Linked DNA regions of Ovis aries. The protein of the gene in region 1 binds, or shares a complex with, the protein of each later gene. Links are inferred from orthologs where the notes say so. Each region holds a gene or a part of one and is shown in the gene's direction. Other genes may lie near its edges.

Region 1 (9,960 bases):
GGTAAGCATGAGTAACTGTCCCATTTATAGCAGGAATACTGTCAAGGATTCCAGAGGCCGCGATGACCTGCCTGTGTGTTGTCCACGTGAATGTTGATGTTGTCCAGGAAACAAGCAAGATCACAAGATGGGTTGCAAGACGTTGAGCCAGGCTCAAGTTGCCAGTGAATGAGGGACAGTAACCACAGAGGTTACTAGGTGGCAGTGAGGAAAAGGGGGTACAGTTTACTGCAGCTAAATGATAATGGGCTCAAAGAAAGAGTTTTTACATAGTCATGGTGGAATCATAGTCTCTATATGCCATTAGGGAGTTATGGGCTATAGAAGAAGACATGGAGTAGTCACCCTTTGAGAAGATGGCTGGTGAGCTGGGACCCTCAGGAATGAGCCAGGTTGCTGTTAGCAAGAAGAGGTAGAGGGAACATTCTGTCTTGTGGTTCAGAATTGAGATGAGCTGATGGGAAATGCTCCATGGCACCAGATGAAGTTTGGAACATACTTTTGGGGAGCATATGTATTTAGGGAATGAATAAGAAAGGTAACTTAAGATTGCTGCCTATATTATACCTGTTATCTGAAGGCAGCTTCATAGCTCTCCTAAAGTGTTTACAAACTGCTTTTTGTTCCTTCAAGATCTTTTTCCCCTTCTTTTGACATTGGTTACAGATAAGTGTGGTGGTATGTTATATCAATATCAGCAAAATTAAATTACAGTTTCAAAAAAAAGAACATTTTGTGGTTCTTTAAAATTTTACTAGGAGGTAGTTATTTAAAGGTAAACGCTTTAAGATAAAAATGTTTGGTGATGTTCTTTCTGAAACATATTTTAATCTCCATTTTATTTAGGCAAATGTGTAAAATTTGAGTAACTAAGTCAGAGTCAAATAAATTGACCGCTTAATAGTAATAATTATCATACTTTCTTTTTGATGTATAGGCATGTAAAGTTGAAGATTTGGGCAAAGTGGATTTTGAAGATGAAATTAAGAAAAGATTTAAGATGGTATATGTACCAAATTGGTTCTCAGTAGACTTAAAAACAGGGGTAAGTTAGCAGTTGATATTTGTGCAATTTGGGATAGTTGAAAATTTCCCATATAGCTGAGAATTAAGTATTATTAGTTTTGGAGTCCTGTGTGTTTAAGTTTGAAAGGAGAAGGTTTTATGCAGTTTAAATGCCTTTTCATATCCCAGTATATTAAATCGTAGTTGCATTGAATTACACGAAACACATTTTGATTCTGAATCTGTGGCTTAGCACTGTAGTCAAATAGTGCAAATAAATAAGGATTTAGAGACTTACTTGAAGAGTGTATTCAAATAGAATGCCACTAAGCAATTTTTCTCTTTTGACAGATGTTGACAATTACTTTGGATGAGAGTGACTGCTTTGCTGCTTGGGTTTCTGCAAAAGATGCTGGCTTCAGCAGCCCTGATGGGTCGGATCCAAAACGTGAGTTTGTGTCCTTCCTTCCCCGCCTCCTTCCAAAAGAGTAGGTAGATCTGTGCTGGTTTTTTGCTTTATGCTCATCTTTTTTGTTTATAAACAATATTTGGGTTTTTAAAAAATTATTTTTCAAGAAATCTATATTATTCTCTCATATGGAAATGGAAAACATTCCATTTTAAGTGTTTTGGGATCTTGAGTTTTCTCACAATGTATGACTTAGCTTTAACAATTAAACACGCAGCATACTCTCTACCCTTAAAGCATTCTGGAAATCTGTTAGGTAAGGATAACTGAAGCTAGGAAACAGTTTTTCCCCCTCCAGTTAAAGAATTACTGAAGTATAACTGACATATCATATGTTGGTTTCAGATGTACAGGATAATGATTCAGTATTTGTATATATTGCAAAATAATCACAACAGTAAATCTAGTTAATAGTTAACATCTGTCGCCATGTATAGAAGTTTTTTCTCTTGAGACTTTTTAAGATCTACTCTCTTAGCGACTTTAAAATGTGCAATATAGTATTAGTAAATATAGTTGCCATGCCGTAGGTCACATCCCCGTGACGAATATATTTTATAACTGGGAGTACATACTTTTTGACTCCCTTCACCCATTTTGCCCATTCCGTTACGCCTGCCCCTCAACATCTGGCAACCACCAGTCTGTTCTTTGTTTCTGTGAGCTCTGGGGTTTTTTGCTTTTTTGGTTTCAGATTCCACGTGTAAGTGAGATCATATGGCTTTTGTCTGTGTCTAACATATTTCGCTTAACCATATGGCCTTCAGGGTTCATCCTTGTTGTCACAAATGGCAAGACTTCATTTTCTTTATGACTGAATAATATTTCTTTGTGTGTATATCACATTTTCTTTATCCATTCATCCATCAATGGACAGTGAGGTTTTCTGTAAATAGCGCTGCAATGAACATGGGGGTGCATATATCTTTTTAAATGAGTGTTTTCCTTTTCTTCAGATAAATTCTCAGAAGTAGCGTACTAGATACGATAGTTTTGTTTTTGAGGGACCGCCATGCTGTTTTCCACGGTGTCTGCACCAACTTAGGTCCCGTCAGTAGTGCACAGGGGTTCCTATTTCTCCTCATACTGTCAGACATTTGTTGTTTATCATCTTTTTGATTAACAGCCATCCTCACAGGTGTGAGGTGATAGCTCCTTGTGGTTTTGATTTTCCTTTCCCTGGTGATTAGTGATGTTGAGCATGTTTTCATGTGCCTGTTGGCCATCTGTATGTCTTCTTTGGAAAAATGTCTATTCAGCTCTTCTGCCCAATTTTTTAGTCAGATTTTTCCATTTTTTTGCTATTGAGTTGTATGAATTTTTTATATATTTTGGATATTAACCCATTTCAGATAAATAATTTGCAAATATTTTCTCCTGTTCCGTAGGTTGCCTTTTCATTTTGTTGATGATTTCCTTTGCTCTATAAAAGCTTGTTAGTTTGATATAGTTCCACTTACTTACTTTTGCCTTCATTGCCTTTGCTTTTGGTGTAAGATCCAAAAAAAATCATCCACCAATATCATTGTCAGCAAGCTTACTGCCTGTGTTTTCTTCTGGGAGTATTGTGGTTTCAAGTCTTACATTCATCTCTTTAGTCCCTGTTGAGTTAATTTTTGTGTATGTTGAGAAGAGACTTATCTTCATAAGAGTCTATTATATTTTATTAATTATATCTTTGATCAGTATTCTTCTAAGATTGTAGCCTGTAGAAATAACTGATATATATACAAAATATAGTGGCTTTATATGGAAATAGCCCTTTAAAGAATACAATTTCAGTTGTTGTTTATTCATTTTCAAAGAACAGCTATATCTGAATAACCAAATAGAATATCTGTTTGCTTGATATTATCACTGCTTTAAACATTGTAAGATGAAATTTTAATAGACTTTGTGAAATACGTAAAGTCTTGCTTTTAGACATCCTTGGCATTGGGTTAAGAATGTAACATCAGAATATGTGGAAGCTTTTCATTTTTATTGCTTTCCCTCTATTTTTAAGTTAAAACTAATGTTTCTCTTTTCTGTTTTTTTTGTTTCTATTTTAATTGACTCTCTTGCAGTGAACTTAGGAGGACTTTTACTCCAGGCACTCCTAGAATATTGGCCTAGGACACATGTGAATCCAATAGATGAAGAAGAAAATGAAGTAAATCATGGTTCGTATTTTTATATTAGGATAATTGGTTTTAAAATTACTCTGAAGTTAAGGATATTTAGATTGTTATCCTGAGAATTTTTTTAAAAAATTTTTTTAAGCATTTGCTAAAGTATGACATAATAGTTGGGGTATGCTCAATTTATTGCCCTCCCTTCTACATGCTAAAGAACGTCCATCCAGTCTTAACTGAGATATCGAAGAACTTTTAATTACTACACAAGGTATATGGAATCAATCCTGTGTATTCAGGTGACCTTTGTCCTTGAAAGTAGGCAGCTTAGCAGGTTCATTCTAACAGTATTTCTCAAGGTATCCATGGACCTGCTGGATTTACCTCCAAAGCTAGCTATTTAGCTGCATTGGAAAGCCAGGTTTGTTGTTGTGAGGCATGCCTCACATTGGCCTGAAAGGTAGATATTCCCTAGTCTGATGATCTACCTGATATTGGCTCAAAAAAGCAGCTCCCAATTCAGAAGTGCCAGGGTAAGTGACTGAGTATGTGTAAAGAATTAATGTCATTGAGGACATTCCAAAGCTGTGTGTGCCACAGGCAGCAGCAGTAACTCACTGGGCAGCCCGGGAGAATTTGGAACATATGAGTTTGGCTCAGTCTGATTCAAGAAAGGAGGGGAAAAACTTAAAATATCACAGCTGATACATAACCTTGAGTCCCCCCACTGAGGACTTGCTCTGCTAAAGATTCTCTGAAGATTGCCTATTTGTGGTGGTCAGCAGTGATGAAGCCCTCCTGCCAGAGAGTTTGTTGTGGCTGACTGATTCATCCAGAATAAATTTTGGAGTTTAAATCTGTTTTGCAAGGATGGCATGCCTCTCTGTAAGCCAGTGTCCTGATGTCCCTGTCTGAGAGAGAGCACTGACCCCACACATGATGGCCTTTCTTCTGTCACCTGGCTCGCTTCATTCCCCTTCTGAATTGTACAGTGAACTGTGAGCCAGAGTCAGTGGAAAGATCTGCTCACAGGGTCGAGAAAGCTAGGTTCTGCTGTGGGCTCTGCCGTTTTATCAGCTGTGCAGCTGCGGGCATGCCATTTCCTGTTCTTGACTTGTCTTTCTCCATCTATAACCTGACGGTGCCCTCGGAGGCCCAAGGAGCCAATAAAGACCACGTAATCGAAACAAAGGGCCCCAGGCAGCATCTCTTGAAGGCAGACTTCGGTTGGGGGAGTAAAGAATAAGTCACAGGAAACGTTAAATCATCCTTAGAATCAAATTGGCCTAGTGAAGGCAGGGCAGGACTGAGCCAAGCTCAGGACACGGCTCGCACTACCTGGCTGGTAATCCTGCTGGACCTGCACGACACACAGCGGACCCTCAAGCTGCTTGGGTTATACGAGGTGGGCAGCTCGAGTATTCGGAGGCCTGAAGTGAGTTGTGAGGATAATAGGGATAGATGGACATGGATCCCTCCATTCAGGGACTAGCATTCTGGTTGGACAAAGCACCGCTTACATCTGCATTGTGTGATCAGAGTTGGTGCTGTGAGAGAGTGTTGTTGGGTTGCAGAGGGTGAGATTGCTTCCAGATTCCTTCAGAAAGTAGTTATGAACAAGGGGGAGTCAGCTGCAGAGAGCTGACTGAAATGAAATCTGACTAAAATGAAATCTGCAGAGAGCAATAAAAATGAGTTTATGACCTCTTTGAGATTTTGTTTTTCACTAATACCGTTAGTTGTGGCTGCCATTAAATATAAACTTTGTTTCTGACACAAATTTCTCTGTGCTTGGTGTTTTACCAATCCCCACCCCACCAGCGCCAAAGGAAAGAGCAGATCATTGTTTATAGACTGTTCTAGACTGCCCTGTGGCTGAAGTAGATGGTTATGTTTTTGTTTTAAATCTCAAACATTAATCTCCTCTAAAATGTAATCATTTCTCGTGAGGTATATCGCACATTGCCGTATTTCTTATTTTCAGGAACTTCACTTTGTTTTTTACCTTTATTTCCATCTCTAGCTGACTTACAGGACTTCTTGACTTAAGTCTTGCAATGGTTGGGTCCTGTGGAAACAAAATGTTTAGAGTCCATGTTGTTAGCGCTGACTGGATCCTGACGCCATCTGTGTCTTTTCCTAGTAAACGGGGAGCAGGAGAACCGAGTACAGAAAGGAAATGGCTACTTTCAAGTGCCGCCACACACCCCTGTGATCTTCGGTGAAGCTGGAGGCCGCACCCTCTTCAGGTATGGGTAGGAAGGGCTAAGAGTGCACCCTGTTTGCCCTGAAGTTTTGATTCAAGCAAATGTCTATTAATTTCTAGGGGTGTCTGGGTTTTGGTTTTTCACCTCCCTGAAATAGTTAAGTGTCTGATGCTGTTAGACCCCATCTTAATTCAGAGCTGAGCCTCTAGTGGTAAAATGAGGTTGATACCTTGTGGAGGTTGATAACCTTGCCTCAAGGCAGCTTCTTAGCAGTTTCTGCAGGAAGTGCTTTTTCTCACTTAACCAGCCAGACTGCCAGGGACAGATGACTTCACCAGAAGTCCCCACCCACAGGACAACATCTGAGTAGATAACTTCCCTCAGACCAGGCCAGGGGAGATGGACTGGGCTGCTCCTGGGAACTGTCATGCCCAACAATGGCTCGACCTGAGGTGCAAGGCAGTCCTTCTTGAGGGCCTGCAGGCAAGTGCTAGGCTGGCTTCACCTCCAAGTTGCTAGCCAAGGCCCAGGAAATGTCATGGGAGAAAGCCATGGGCCAGAAGTAAGAAAGCTATTTGTCTTGCCCTTGAGAGCAGAATTCTCTTCCTTGATGGTGATTTCCTGAGAGTGTGGTCACTGAAAACCGCCTGACCCCATGTTGTGCATGGACTACCGTGCACTGTAGCTCTGCTGAGCGACCTCAAGTGCCTTGCCTACACCCAGCTTCCTGTCCTCACCCAGGGGCCCCAACAGGCAGCCACAGTGTCCGTCTGGCCTCGAATCTGGGAGCCTGAGTTTGACAGCTTGCTTTCACTCTTAGCAGAGTGAGTCATTCTGCCTGCCTTCTACTTTATTTCCTCAGCTGTCAGTTGGGGGTGATCCTGAATGAACTCTATAAGCTCCCTCCCTCTAACATTTAATGATAGTGATATTGGGATCCGTGCTTATTTTGTCACTTACTACATGATGGATTATGTTTAGGCTGCTCTGCCGAGATTCTGGGGGTGAGACTGAGTCCATGCTTCTTAATGAGACGGTGCCACAATGGGTAATTGACATCACTGTGGATGTAAGTGTCCTCCACTCCCACTTTGTCCTCTTATTTTTTTCCAAATCATGAAGAAAATTTACTGTATTAAATTGTATAATCTTTGATTGAAACTAGACTGCCAAGTGGAATCCTCTTCTGCTTCTGTGCAGTTCCAAAGCTGCAGAGAAATATTATAATTATGTCTCTTTCTATCTTTATTTTTAATATATAAAATGTGTTTATCAAAGAAAATAATAAATGAATAAGGTGAAATTCCCATCCTTTTCCAAACACTGTCTTCCATTCACTTCCTCTTCTTCTTCCCAGAGGTAGTAAATATTAATAGCTTAATGCCTTCAGGACCTTCTTCTGTGCATACACAAGTATGTGTTTGTGTCTGTATATGTGTGTCTAGATATATGTGATCCATATGTAGGTCATTTTATTTTGCACAGAATTTGCTGTTCTGTACTGTTCTACAACTTGGATGTGTTTTTTTGTTTTGTTTTTCACTTAAAAATATATTTTGGACATTTTTTCATATTAGTGTATGGATCACTTCTTCTTAATGACTGCATATTTTGTTGTATAAATGTACCATGGTTTATTTAGCCAGTCCCTATTAATGGACATTTAGGTTGTACCCAATGTTTTCTGTTAAAAACAATGCTTCAGTGAACATCCTTGTATATATATCTTTGTGTACTTTTTAGGGTAAATTCCTAGAAGTGGAATTGCTGGATCAAAGGGTATGCACATTTTAAATTTCAATGGATACTGCCAAATTGCACTCCACTAAGGGTATACCAGTTTACACTCTCACCAACAGTGTGTGAGTGCCCAGAACCCCACACCCTCACCAATGCTGGATACTTAGAATCTTTGCTGAAAGATAGACATATTGTCTCATTGTTCTAAATTTTTTTAACTTACAGTGAGGTTAAGCATCTTTTCATAGTGGCCATTTTTATTTCTTTTGTAAGTTGCCTGTTTGTATTCTTTACTCGACTTTCTATTGGGTTATTTGTCTTTCTTATTGACTTGTAATAGTTCTTCATACTGAATATTAACCCTTTGACCATTCTCTTGCCTCTTGATTGAATTTTTACTTTGCTCATGATGTCCTTTGGCAGGCAAAAAGTTTTAATTTTTATATGACCAGATTAATCCTTTATGGCTGTGAGTTTCATGTCTTGCTTAGGTATTTCGCACTCCAGAGTAGCAAAAATATTTTCTTGTGTTCTCTTCTAGTATGTTTATGATAATAGTTTGTATCTAGATCATTAAAGTATTAGAATTTATTCTATTTGGTGAATTTATTCTGTTTGGTGTGAAGTGAAGTAAGATGCTAACTTTCTCCAAATGGGTAGCCAGTGTGTCAACACAATTTATTGAATCATCTAAACTTTTCCTACTAATTTGAAATGCTGTTTTATCATATACTAAATTTCTATACACACATAGGTCTGTTTCTAGTTATGTGCTATTGACCAATTTTATGTCTATTTAAAGCCTCATGAAAAGAGATTTAATCTCTAGAACCTTCTAGAAAATTTGTTTTCTGTCCCAGATAAACTTCCAAGAACTTAAAGCCAGTCTGACACCTGATGGATATTCTAGTCTTCTCTAAATTTGAGCTCCCCATAAACCACTACTTCCTTTGAGTGTGAAACTCACTCGGATGCATTGCTGACTTTAGGCCTGTGGCTTATTCCCTGGAGGAAACATCCGAAGAGGATATGACATGGAGGCTCAAAGGGGATTAATCCCCATAGCAAAGATGACCAATTAATTTTATCCTTTATCTAAGTGTATGGTTTACATCATATGGACATCTAGGTGGTTGGCTGAACTTTCCACTCTTATTTGAAACCTCAGACAGACCTCACTCTGATGTCAGAGGTAAAGCAAGTTAGGAGGACTTGATTGACCTTTAGAGGTGGATAATGGACCTTACCAGCATAGAGTGTATGGTTTTGCTCAAAAGTGAATGTTGTGGGTTTCTCTCAAGATACTTAAATTTTTGTTCTGGCATTTGAATGTAGACTTGAGATTTTGGTTTGTATGGCTTAAAGGATTAAAATAAAGTTTGTTTCCCTTTAATACCTTGAATTGTTACTTGAGAAGAGCCATGCTGCCATTTTATACTGCTACTGACACTGCATATGATTTGTCTTTATATATGTTTTATTACAAAATTAAACTTTATACTTTTCTGATACCCTGTCTCTAAGGCTGACATAATTTGAGAGCTTACTATAAATTTCATAGAAAGTCACTTTTAAATGTACAATAGCAATTAACTTATGAATCATGTTTTCACAAGTATTGACATCATTTTAGTTTATCAATTAATAGACACTATTTTACTTTTTTTCACTTTTAATATTTCAGAAAAATATGCCCAAATTCAACAAAATTCCTTTCTACCTCCAACCTCATGCTTCTTCAGGAGCAAAAACCTTAAAAAAGTAAGTAAATGGAGTGTCGTGCAATACTTTGATCTGATTAATTGCCAGAGACTTTTTTATTCCTTATGATTACGTTCATAGCACAGGAGGCAAGTACTAGATCTTAGGCTATTCCATAAAACTGAAGTCATACAATTTAACCATTCACCAAGCATGGGCTTCCCTGGCAGCTCAGCTGATTAAAGAATCCACTTGTGATGCAGGAGAGCCTGGTTTGATTCCTGAGTCGGGAAGATCCACTGGAGAAGGGATAGGCTACCCACTCTAGTATTCTTGAGCTTCCCAGGTGGCTCAGCTGGTAAAGACTCCACCTGCAATCCGTGAAAGCTGGGTTTGATCCCTGGGTTGGATTTAATTAGTTTAATTATTTGTTAGGATTACATTTAGAGCACAGAAGGCAAGCACTAGATCTTAGGCTAATTTCATAATATTGAAAGTATATATAGTTTAACTTGCTTTTAAAGTATGAGCCTGAGCTACTTGATTTGACCATTATTAACTGATGTCAGAGATACAGAAGTAGGTTTGGGGATAAGGAAGTTGCTGAATCTAGTTTTGGACATGTAGAGTTTGTGATGCCTTTGGGACATTGGCGGGAGCTATTGGGTTGGTGGGTTTGGAGATCAGACAAGCAGTTGAAACTCAAAGTCTTGACTATAGGAGG
Region 2 (9,960 bases), on another chromosome or scaffold:
TCTGGAACTCTCTTGCTTTTTCCATGATCCAGTGGATATTGGCAATTTGACCTCTGGTTCCTCTGCCTTTTCTAAATCCAGCTTGAACATCTTGGAAGTTCACGGTTCACGTATTGCTGAAGCCTGGCTTAGAGAATTTTGAGCATTACTTTACTAGCGTGTGAGATGAGTGCAATTGTGTGGTAGTTTGAGCATTCTTTGGCATTGCCTTTCTTTGGGATTGGAATGGAAACTGACCTTCTCCAGTCCTGCGGTCACTGCTGAATTTTCCAAATCTGCTGGCATATTGAGTGCAGCACTTTCACCGCATCATCTTTCAGGATTTGAAATAGCTCAACTGGAATTCCGTCACGTCCACTAGCTTTGTTCATAGTGATGCTTCCTAAGACCCACTTGACTTCACACTCCAGGATGTCTGGCTGTAGGTCAGTGATCATACCATTGTGATTATCTGGGTCGTGAAGATCTTTTTGTATAGTTCTTCTATGTATTCTTGCCAGCTCTTCTTAATGTCTTCTGCTTCTGTTAGGCCCCTACCATTTCTGTCCTTTATTGAGCCCATCTTTGCATAAAATGTTCCCTTGGTATCTCTTAATTTTCTTGAAGAGGTCTCTAGTCTTTCCCATTCTGGTGTTTTCCTCTGTTTCTTTGCATTGATCACTGAGGAAGTGTTTCTTATCTCTCCTTGCTATTCTTTGGAACTCTGCATTCAAATGGGTACATCTTTCCTTTTTTCCTTTGCCTTTCACTTCTCTTCTTTTCACAGCTATTTGTAAGACCTCCTCAGACAACCATTTTGCCTTTTTGTTTTATTTATGGGACAATAGATTAAGTGAACTGATAAAAAGCAGTTGTTTCTTACTACCTCAATACATTATGTATGAGGATAGGTTTTCTCTTTTTTTGATCAATTAGTATTTTTTAGAAGATTTTTCTTCATAACTGTATTTTCCTCAAATTTGAGTCATAATTTGTATATGTGAAAGATACATGTTTCTTGTTCATTACTAACAGTCACAAACATTTTATGTAATTCTGATAGAATACTAGATATTCTTTTTTTAATTTAGTTTTTTTAATGAAGTAACTCATTCTGAAATAATTCTCTGTGCATTCTTATTTTTAGAGCTCTTTGACAACTACATGCAGCAAGATGCCCACGAATTCCTAAATTACCTACTAAATACCATTGCTGATATTTTACAAGAAGAGAGAAAGCAGGAGAAACAAAATGGTCGTCTGCCTAATGGTAACATTGACAGTGAAAATAACAGCACACCAGACCCGACATGGGTTCATGAGATCTTCCAGGGAACACTGACTAATGAAACCAGGTGTCTTACGTGTGAAACCGTAAGTGTCTCATAAAATGTCATATAGAACGCATCTAACCCGTTGTGTTAAAAGCTCTTTGAGGATGAGTATGAGAGTGAGCTTGAGAGTTGTGGTGCCTGTGACTGACGAGCCTCTCGGCTGTCTGCTTGTTGACCGAACCCTGAGCTGGCAGAGAAACACTCGCTGCGGCGTGAACTGTTTCGAGACTTCATGTTGAACAGTTGGGCTGTGTTGTGACTGCAGTGTCCTACAGAGTAGTCTCGCTGCTCTGGCGACCCTCTGTGGCCTGTGTATTTGTGCCTCCCCTCCCCTGACCCCTAGCGGCCACTGGTCATTTTACTGCCTCCAGAGCTTGCCCTCTCCGGATGCCACATGGCTGGAGTCGTAGAGCATGGGGCCCTTTCAGATTGACTTCTTTCACTCGGCAGTGGGTATTTAAGGTTCCCACCTGCCTTGTCACAGCTTGATAGCTCATTTCTTTTTATTGCTGAATTACATTTTATTGTCTGGATGTACCAGAGTTTATCCATTTACCTACTGAAGGACACCTCAGTTGCTTGTTTTGGTAATTATGAATAAACTTGCTCTGAACACACATGTGCAGGATTTTGTGTGGATATAAGTTTTCAGTGCCTCAGTTAGTGGCCAGGGGCGCAGTTGCTAGATCGTGTGGTAGGAAGAGTACATTTAGTTTTGGAAGGAACTACATTCACATTCCCACCAGGAATGAGGGAGAGTTCCTGCTGCTCCACGTCCTGGTCAGCACTTGCTGATGTTGGTGTTTTGGATTTTGGCTGTTTTAATAGGTGTGTAGTATTATATTTAAATCAAATGCATTTAATTTGCATTTCTCTGATGGCATATAACGTGGAATATCTTTTCATGCACCCGTTTGCCGTCTTTATATATCTTCCTTGGTGAGGTATCAGTACTAGTCTTTGGGCCATTTTTCACATGAGGTTGTTTGTTTTCTAGCTGTTGAGTTTCAGGAGTACTCTGTACATTTTAGACACCAGGCCTTTGTCAGAGGTGTCATTTGCAAGGTTTTCTCCCAGCCTGTGGCTCATCTTCACATGCTGTCAACCATACCTTTGGCAGATCAGAAGTTTTTAATGTTTTAATTTTAAATTTTAATAAAGTCCAGTTTAAAGGACAGAAATGGTATAGACCTAACAGAAGCAGAAGATACTAAGAAGAGGTGGCAAGAATACACGGAAAAACTGTACAAAAAAGATCTTCACGACCCAGATAATCATGATGATGTGATCACTCGTCTAGAGCCAGACATCTTGGAATGTGAAGTCAGGTGGGCCTTAGAAAGCATCACTACGAACAAAGCTAGTAGAGGTGATGGAATTCCAGTGGAGCTATTTCAAATCCTGAAAGATGATGCTGTGAAAGTGCTGCACTCAATATGCCAGCAGATTTGGAAGACTCAGCAGTGGCCACAGGACTGGAAAAGGGCAGTTTTCATTCCAATCCCAAAGAAAGGCAGTGCCAAGGAATGCTCAAACTACCGCACAATTGCACTCATCTCACATGCTAGTAAAGTAATGCTCAAAATTCTCTAAGCCAGACTTCAGCAATACGTGAACCGTGAACTCCCTAATGTTCAAGCTGGTTTTAGAAAAGGCAGAGGAACCAGAGGTCAAATTGCCAATATCCACTGGATCATGGAAAAAGCAAGAGAGTTCCAGAAAAACATGTATTTCTGCTTTATTGACTATGCCAAAGCCTTTGACTGTGTGGATCACAAGAAACTGTGGAAAATTCTGAAAGAGATGGGAATACCAGACCACCTGACCTGCCTCCTAAAGAATCTATATGCAGGTGAGGAAGCAACAGTTAGACCTGGACATGGAACAACAGACTGGTTCCAAATAGGAAAAGGAATATGTCAAGGCTGTATACTGTCACCCTGCTTATTTAACTTATATGCAGAGTACATCATGAGAAATGCTGGGCTGGAAGAAACACGAGCTGGAATCAAGATTGCCAGGAGAAATATCAATAACCTCAGATATGCAGATGACACCACCCTTATGGCAGAAAGTGAAGAGGAACTAAAAAGCCTCTTGATGAAAGTGAAAGAGGAGAGTGAAAAAGATGGCTTAAAGCTCAACATTCAGAAAACAAAGATCATGGCATCTGATCCCATCACTTCATGGGAAATAGATGGGGAAACAGTGGAAACAGTGTCAGACTTTATTTTTGGGGGCTCCAAAATCACTGCAGATGGTGATTGCAGCCATGAAATTAAAAGATGCTTACTCCTTGGAAGGAAAGTTATGACCAACCTAGACAGCATATTCAAAAAGCAGAGACATTACTTTGCCGACTAAGGTCCATCTGGTCAGGGCTATGGTTTTTCCAGTAGTCATGTATGGATGTGAGAGTTGGACTGTGAAGAAGGCTGAGCGCCGAAGAATTGATGCATTTGAACTGTGGTGTTGGAGAAGACTCTTGAGAGTCCCTTGGACTGCAAGGAGATCCAACCAGTCCATTCTGAAGGAGATCAACCCTGGGATTTCTTTGGAAGGAGTGATGCTAAAGCTAAAGCTCCAGTACTTTGGCCACCTCATGCGAAGAGTTGACTCATTGGAAAAGACTCTGATGCTGGGAGGGATTGGGGATTAGAAGCGGAAGGGGACAACCATGGATGAGATGGCTGGATGGCATCACGGACTCGATGGACGTGAGTCTGAGTGAACTTCGGGAGATGGTGATGGACAGGGAGGCCTGGCATGCTGTGATTCATGGAGTCGCAAAGAGTTGGACACGGCTGAGCGACTGAACTGAACTTTTTGTTTTTTTTTCCTTCATGGAAATGCTTTTGATATTCTTTAAATGCTTTTCGTGTTGTATCGAAAAAGTCATCACAGACCATCTGTGCATGTGGAGTCACTTGGTGGTGGAGGGGTCCCAGGGACCAAGTCTGACGTCCCTCCTGTTGCATCCCGTCAAGGGAGGCAGCCAGCATGAGTGATGTGTCTTACTCTAGCTCACTGATTAAGTAGTAACTTAGATCATTATAGATGATTCATTCATAAATCAGAACATGGTTAAATTTGGAGGATAAATAAAAGAAGGTCATAAGTGAAGGCTCAGTTTGGCATGTTGGACTAATATTTTTTCTTAAATGGTAGTTTTTTTCTTAAATAATTAAACAGTATAGAGATCATGTCCTTTACCAGCCATTCTCATTCATCCTTGTCCTGTGTTCTTTTAAGAATTACTGTGTATGGCATAGTTTGTTTTATGCTTTACACCATGGACATGGGAGCCTGGCAGGCTACAGCCCATGGGGTTGAAAGAGTGGGCCACGACTGAGTGACCAAACCACCCCCAATACCAGGATTCGGGGAAGTGATGGGATTTCACATCACACCAGCCTTTGCCAGTAAGGAGAGCAGCTGTAGGTGCACTTTGGTATTTTCTTCTAAATATAATGAAGGGTATTGATTCAGCTTCCTTTTGTAAACTTGTATGACTCAAGTAGTTTCTTTTCAACTTGGGGAAAAAGGTTCTTTATATATTTAATAATACTGATAATAACCCACATTTAATTCTTTCACTTTGGAGCAGTAATTTACTGATACCTAAAGAAATCAAAGGTAATTAATTCTCTTATTTTTACAGATAAGCAGCAAAGATGAAGATTTTTTAGACCTTTCTGTTGACGTGGAACAAAACACATCAATTACTCACTGCTTAAGGTAAGCGTGGAATTATTTATTTTGACAGTTAATGATTATCTTTGGTTTTTAGAATATCTTTAAATGAATGCATCATTTTCTGGTACAGGCAAAACTAATTTATTTTGGATTTTACACAGGGGTTTTAGCAACACAGAAACTCTATGCAGTGAATACAAATACTACTGTGAAGAATGTCGCAGCAAACAGGAAGCACACAAACGGTAATTTAGTGTTTTCTGTAATTCATAGTGATTCTTTGGCCATGGATGTTCTAACCAAAAGTGATCTCTGGCAGTTTGCATTGAGTAATCATCCTTTATTTTATCACCAACTGTTAAGACTCATTAGGTAATTACTAGACAAACACATGAGGTAGTTACCAGGCAAACAGTGCTCAACTCCGGGCTGCCTTGACTATCCACACTTGGTGAGTGTTTAATCGCCATAAACCAATACAGTGAGAGGATTCTGCTTTGAAGCTTTCCTCGTTGTGTAAGCTTTCTCGTGGTGAGGAAAGAAGAGGGGAAAAGTGCTTTCCTCACGCCCACTCCAGTCTCCACTGTTCCTCCATAGGATTCACGCCTTCTCTCAGTGTGTCACCATGAGGACAGTACTCTGGTATCAGAAAATGGACTTATCATCACCCTGATTATTTTACTTTTTGTTTTGAGGCAGCCTCAAAGTCTTGTGAACAGTATACCAAGAATGCTTTTCACCCTTAACCATTTGAGAGTGGGTCCCTGCTGTGATGTCCCACAGTTCTGAGGCTTCGGTAGTGGTATCCTGCCAGCAAGGACGTTTCCCCTGTACCATGTCCGGCCACGTCAGGAGAGCAGCGCTGAGATGTTACTGTTGTTGTAGACCTTACTTTAGCATCACCAGATGTCCCAGTAATGTCCTTTATAGGAAAAAAGGGTCTAGTCCAGAGGCACACGTTGCATTTACCATTTGTGTCTCTGTCATCTTTTTATACTGGGAGCAGTTCCTTATCAGTCTTTGCTTGACTTTCACTCTCTTGACACTTAAAAATTACAGGTTAGGTATTTTACAGAATGTCCTCCTTTGAGTCCATCTCATGTTTTAATGTAATGAGGTTTAGATTTTGTATTCTGGGCAGGAATCACACAGAGGTGAGGCTGTGTTCTTTTTAAATGGTACACGATTTTGATACGTGTCATGTGTCGGGGCCCCCACGACCGCTCCTGGATTTGATGGTTCCCTAGAAGGACTCATAGGATTCAGCGTCTGTAGTCCTGCTCACAGCTAAGGTTTGTCACAGGGAACAGTGACAGGTCCGATCAGCAAAGGGGAAGCCAAGCCAGCTTCCAAGTGTCCTGTCCCCGTGGAGTCACATGGACACACTTGTTTCTCCAGCATCGAATGTGACAGCATTGTCTCCCAGAGAAGCTCATCACAGACTCGGTGTGGTGCCCGAGATTTACTGGGGGCAGGCCACCTAGGCACTCCCTGCTTGCGTGTGCGTACACGCTCAGTCACGCAGTGTCCGACTCTTTACAGTCCCGTGGACCACAGTCCTCCACACTCCTCTGTCCATGGGGATTCTCCAGGCAAGAATATTGGAGTGGGTTGCTATTCCTCCTCCAGGGGATCTTCCTGACCCAGGGGTCAAACCTGAGTCTCTACGTCTAATGCATCGCAGGGGGATTCTTCACCCGCCAAGCCATCAGGCGTGTACCAAAACTCCAGGCTCCTGCAAGGGAAGCAGGTGTTCAGCATAAACCATATGATCTGCGCAACAAGTTCAGGCACATCAAGACCCTCTTACCAGCTAGGGAACAGCAGGAGTCCCCCCAGATCAAGTTCCCAGATGCCAGCTGAGGGTCAGCCCCACAGCCAGCCTTTCCCAGGATGTCCTGTGACTGCTACCGTTCTCTCTGGTCACTTGACTGAGGTGCTGTCTCCCAGCGTTAAGCTGTGCTTTCTCCCTAGTTGTAACTGATATGCATTTTGTGTGGAGGTATTTTGAGATTATAAATATCCCTGTTTCTCAGTCTCAGTGAGGGCTCAGGGATATTGTATTTGAGGTTATATATTTAATTTCTAGAAATGGAATTATTGAGGAAAAGGACATAAAGACTGTTGGTTCCTGTGGCTGGCTGGTTTTCCAGCAAAGATTGGGTTTTTACATTTCTTTTCATTAGTGTTTTGCACTGGCCAGGTTAGTAAATATTTCTGGGATAATCTGCTGCTCCTCCACATTTAAGATCTGTAGAATGCAGGTTTCGAATAAGGCTATAAAAAAATTTTTTTTCACTTTATTAGAGGCAGTGGCTTAGTAAATTTTTTTTTTAGCATGAGAAGTGTTTTGCTTCACTGAACACATACAGAATTCAGTCCTGCACTGTTTGTCAAGTACCTGCTGTGTGCCAGGCATATTACTGGGTGGTGAAGAAATACAATGAAAGAGATGGTTTCTGTCTGCCCAGAGTCCAGACCCTAGACAGAGAGAGAGACCACAGCCATCTCTGTATTTTGTAGTGTAGCAGACTGTTCCGAGACAGGGTGAGTCTGTAAAGTGCTGGTGGAGGACCGAGGAGAACAGCTGTTTCTGTCGGAAGGGAAAGCGTTGGCGGTGAATTTTGTTAGGAAGAGGCTGCCGTGCGGTGACATCGGGGAGCAGAGATGGCGTGGAGGGGGTCGTCAGGATTGTTGAGGATGAGGCGGCCTGGACTTGACAGGTAGAAACCTCATTCCTGTGTTTCCAGGTTATTGTATTGCCTTTGTGGGATCCGCACAGTCAGAGCTGTTAGTAAGAAGCTGTATCCTGTCTGTGAAACGCCCTGAGTGGCTGGTCTCCATTGCTCTTCTCTCTCTCCTGTTCCCAGTCTGTTCCTGACTTACAGATGAGCAGAACGAATGGATTTCAGTCTCTGCGCACAGCAGCTCTTAGGAACCGGTTTTTCCTCTACCAGACACAGGCGTCGCCTGCAGTCTGCCTGGTCATGAGGGACCTCTGTTTCAGGAGTACAGAGTTCTTAAAGGGCTACACCTCTGTCTGGGAGCCACACGGAGTTCCACGTCATATTATGTGGTTTGGAGATGATGAGGGACAGGGGGCCGTCTTAAGACCATCAGAATGTTGCCCTGCTGATGGTGGAGTGACAGGAGATCGCTGTTCACCCCAGACCATCACAGCATTATGAGTCAGTTCTACCCCAGCACACAAGAAAAGCTTAGAAGAGGCACAGGTAGAGAGAATGCGGAAGTGGGCGGTGCTGGGCTGATAAAACTGACTGTCAGCGGTTATTGAGTCCTGCAGTCTGATAGTTCTTTTAAGGACACGGTGAATGTCTGTTACGAGATTCTGTCTTCATGTTTATCCTGACAGGATGAAAGTGAAAAAGCTGCCCATGATTCTAGCTCTGCATCTGAAAAGATTTAAGTATATGGATCAGCTTCATCGATACACAAAACTTTCTTACCGGGTGGTTTTCCCTTTAGAACTTCGTCTGTTTAACACTTCAGGCGACGCGACCAATCCTGACAGAATGTATGACCTCGTGGCCGTCGTGGTGCACTGTGGAAGGTAACGGGCGTGGGCCATGCAGGCGGGAGGCTTGGGGGCGGGCAGTGCACACAGGACACCCCAGGGCCGCTCAGAGGTGGGCCTGCCAGAGATCCCGTACCCCCGGTGCTCTAGGACCGAGATGAGTTTATTTCAGAATGAGTATTTCAGATCCATTTTACCATCTCCCCCTTAAAGCTTTTATCTGTTAAAATAGTGTGTTATTGCTTGGATCTGATATCTGTTCTTATTATCTAAATAGGAGCTTCTCTCGTAGCTCAGTTGGTAAAGAATCTGCCTGCAGTGCAGGAGTCTCAGGTTCAATTCCTGGGTTGGGACGATCCCATGGGGAAGGGGATGGCAACCCACTCCAGTATTCTTGCCTGGAAAATCCCATGGACAGAGGAGCCTGGTAGGCTACAGTCCATGGGGTTGCAAAGAGTCAGACACAACTTAGTGGCTAAACCACCACCACTGCCATCTAAATATTACTCTGAGAAGTTTTAAGTCCTGTTGGTTTTCTTTTTTGTTTTTCTTGGTTGTTGGTTAAAAAAAAGAAAAAAGATGCTGCTTAAAGAGATTTTATAAAGTGAATTCTTTATTTTTACAAAATAAAGCTGAGACTAGTTGGATATGTTCATCACATTAATAATAATGAAAAATACTTTTAGAAGGCTTTGGAGATAACCTTCAAAGATAAGTTTTCTGATTTTACAAGGCTGTGTGTATGTTTCCTATTGCTAATTTAGTATACTATCTCATCTATAGACCTTAATTTATAAAATAGCTCAAAAAGTTTCTCAGACCACAAGAGCATTGCAGAATCAACATTTATGTTTAGAACATACAGTTTTCATTGACTGTTTACAATTTCCTGTATTAATTTTATTATATATATATACACACACACACATACATACTTTGGCTGTACTGTACAGCTTGTGGGATCTTAGTTCCCTTACCAGGGATTGAACCAGGGCCTAGCCAGTAGAAGTGCAAGTCCTAACCACTGGACCACCAAGAAATTCCCTTCTTGTAATAATTTTAAAACAGGACACTCCTCCATTTCCCCTGGTGTTTGGAAACTTGTACCAACAGTGTATTGTATCCCAGAGAACGAGAACGTTAGCTGTCCCTCCCTCCCACCTTCCTGCTCAGAACATGGTCAAGATAGCTGGGAGGGGGGGGGTCCACGTCTGTCACGGTCCTTAACCTCCATGGTCTGCGTCAGCCCATTTCCTGTCATTTATCCTCAGCAGTAATCTCGCTTTTCCATTTTTGGAGCATTCTGTTTCTAAAGTAAGTAAAGACATCTGAACAGAGGAAAACAGTATCAGATAACTTACAGAACCCTACTGTAATGATCAGACTGGAGGTTCATGTTAGCATTAAGGTTTTTTT

The links.
Region 2: the proteins of WDR48 (region 1) and USP12 are in contact, whole or in part, in a crystal structure (PDB 5K1C), measured with the Homo sapiens proteins. The link is inferred for Ovis aries from reciprocal best matches to the Homo sapiens genes WDR48 and USP12. Residues at the interface, in NP_065890.1 of Homo sapiens: Arg50, Trp77, Asp118, Tyr119, Lys121, Leu137, Ser170, Tyr172, Thr188, Asp211, Asn212, Lys214, Ser230, Gly254, Trp256, Arg272, Ile363, Ile364, Leu424, Lys425; in NP_872294.2 of Homo sapiens: Arg185, Leu187, Thr188, Cys189, Glu190, Thr191, Ser227, Lys230, Cys236, Arg237, Ser238, Lys239, Gln240, Glu241, His243.

The regions. Positions count from the first base shown.
Region 1 is NC_056072.1:12,415,310-12,425,269, forward strand, and holds part of WDR48 (WD repeat-containing protein 48), read left to right. Parts: intron 1-937; coding exon 938-1,045; intron 1,046-1,356; coding exon 1,357-1,453; intron 1,454-3,540; coding exon 3,541-3,636; intron 3,637-5,731; coding exon 5,732-5,837; intron 5,838-6,776; coding exon 6,777-6,864; intron 6,865-7,538; coding exon 7,539-7,574; intron 7,575-9,219; coding exon 9,220-9,296; intron 9,297-9,960. UniProt on the Homo sapiens protein: Regulator of deubiquitinating complexes, which acts as a strong activator of USP1, USP12 and USP46. Enhances the USP1-mediated deubiquitination of FANCD2; USP1 being almost inactive by itself.
Region 2 is NC_056063.1:32,981,355-32,991,314, forward strand, and holds part of USP12 (ubiquitin carboxyl-terminal hydrolase 12), read left to right. Parts: intron 1-1,126; coding exon 1,127-1,353; intron 1,354-4,974; coding exon 4,975-5,051; intron 5,052-5,170; coding exon 5,171-5,254; intron 5,255-8,382; coding exon 8,383-8,580; intron 8,581-9,960. UniProt on the Homo sapiens protein: Deubiquitinating enzyme that plays various roles in the regulation of the immune response and inflammation.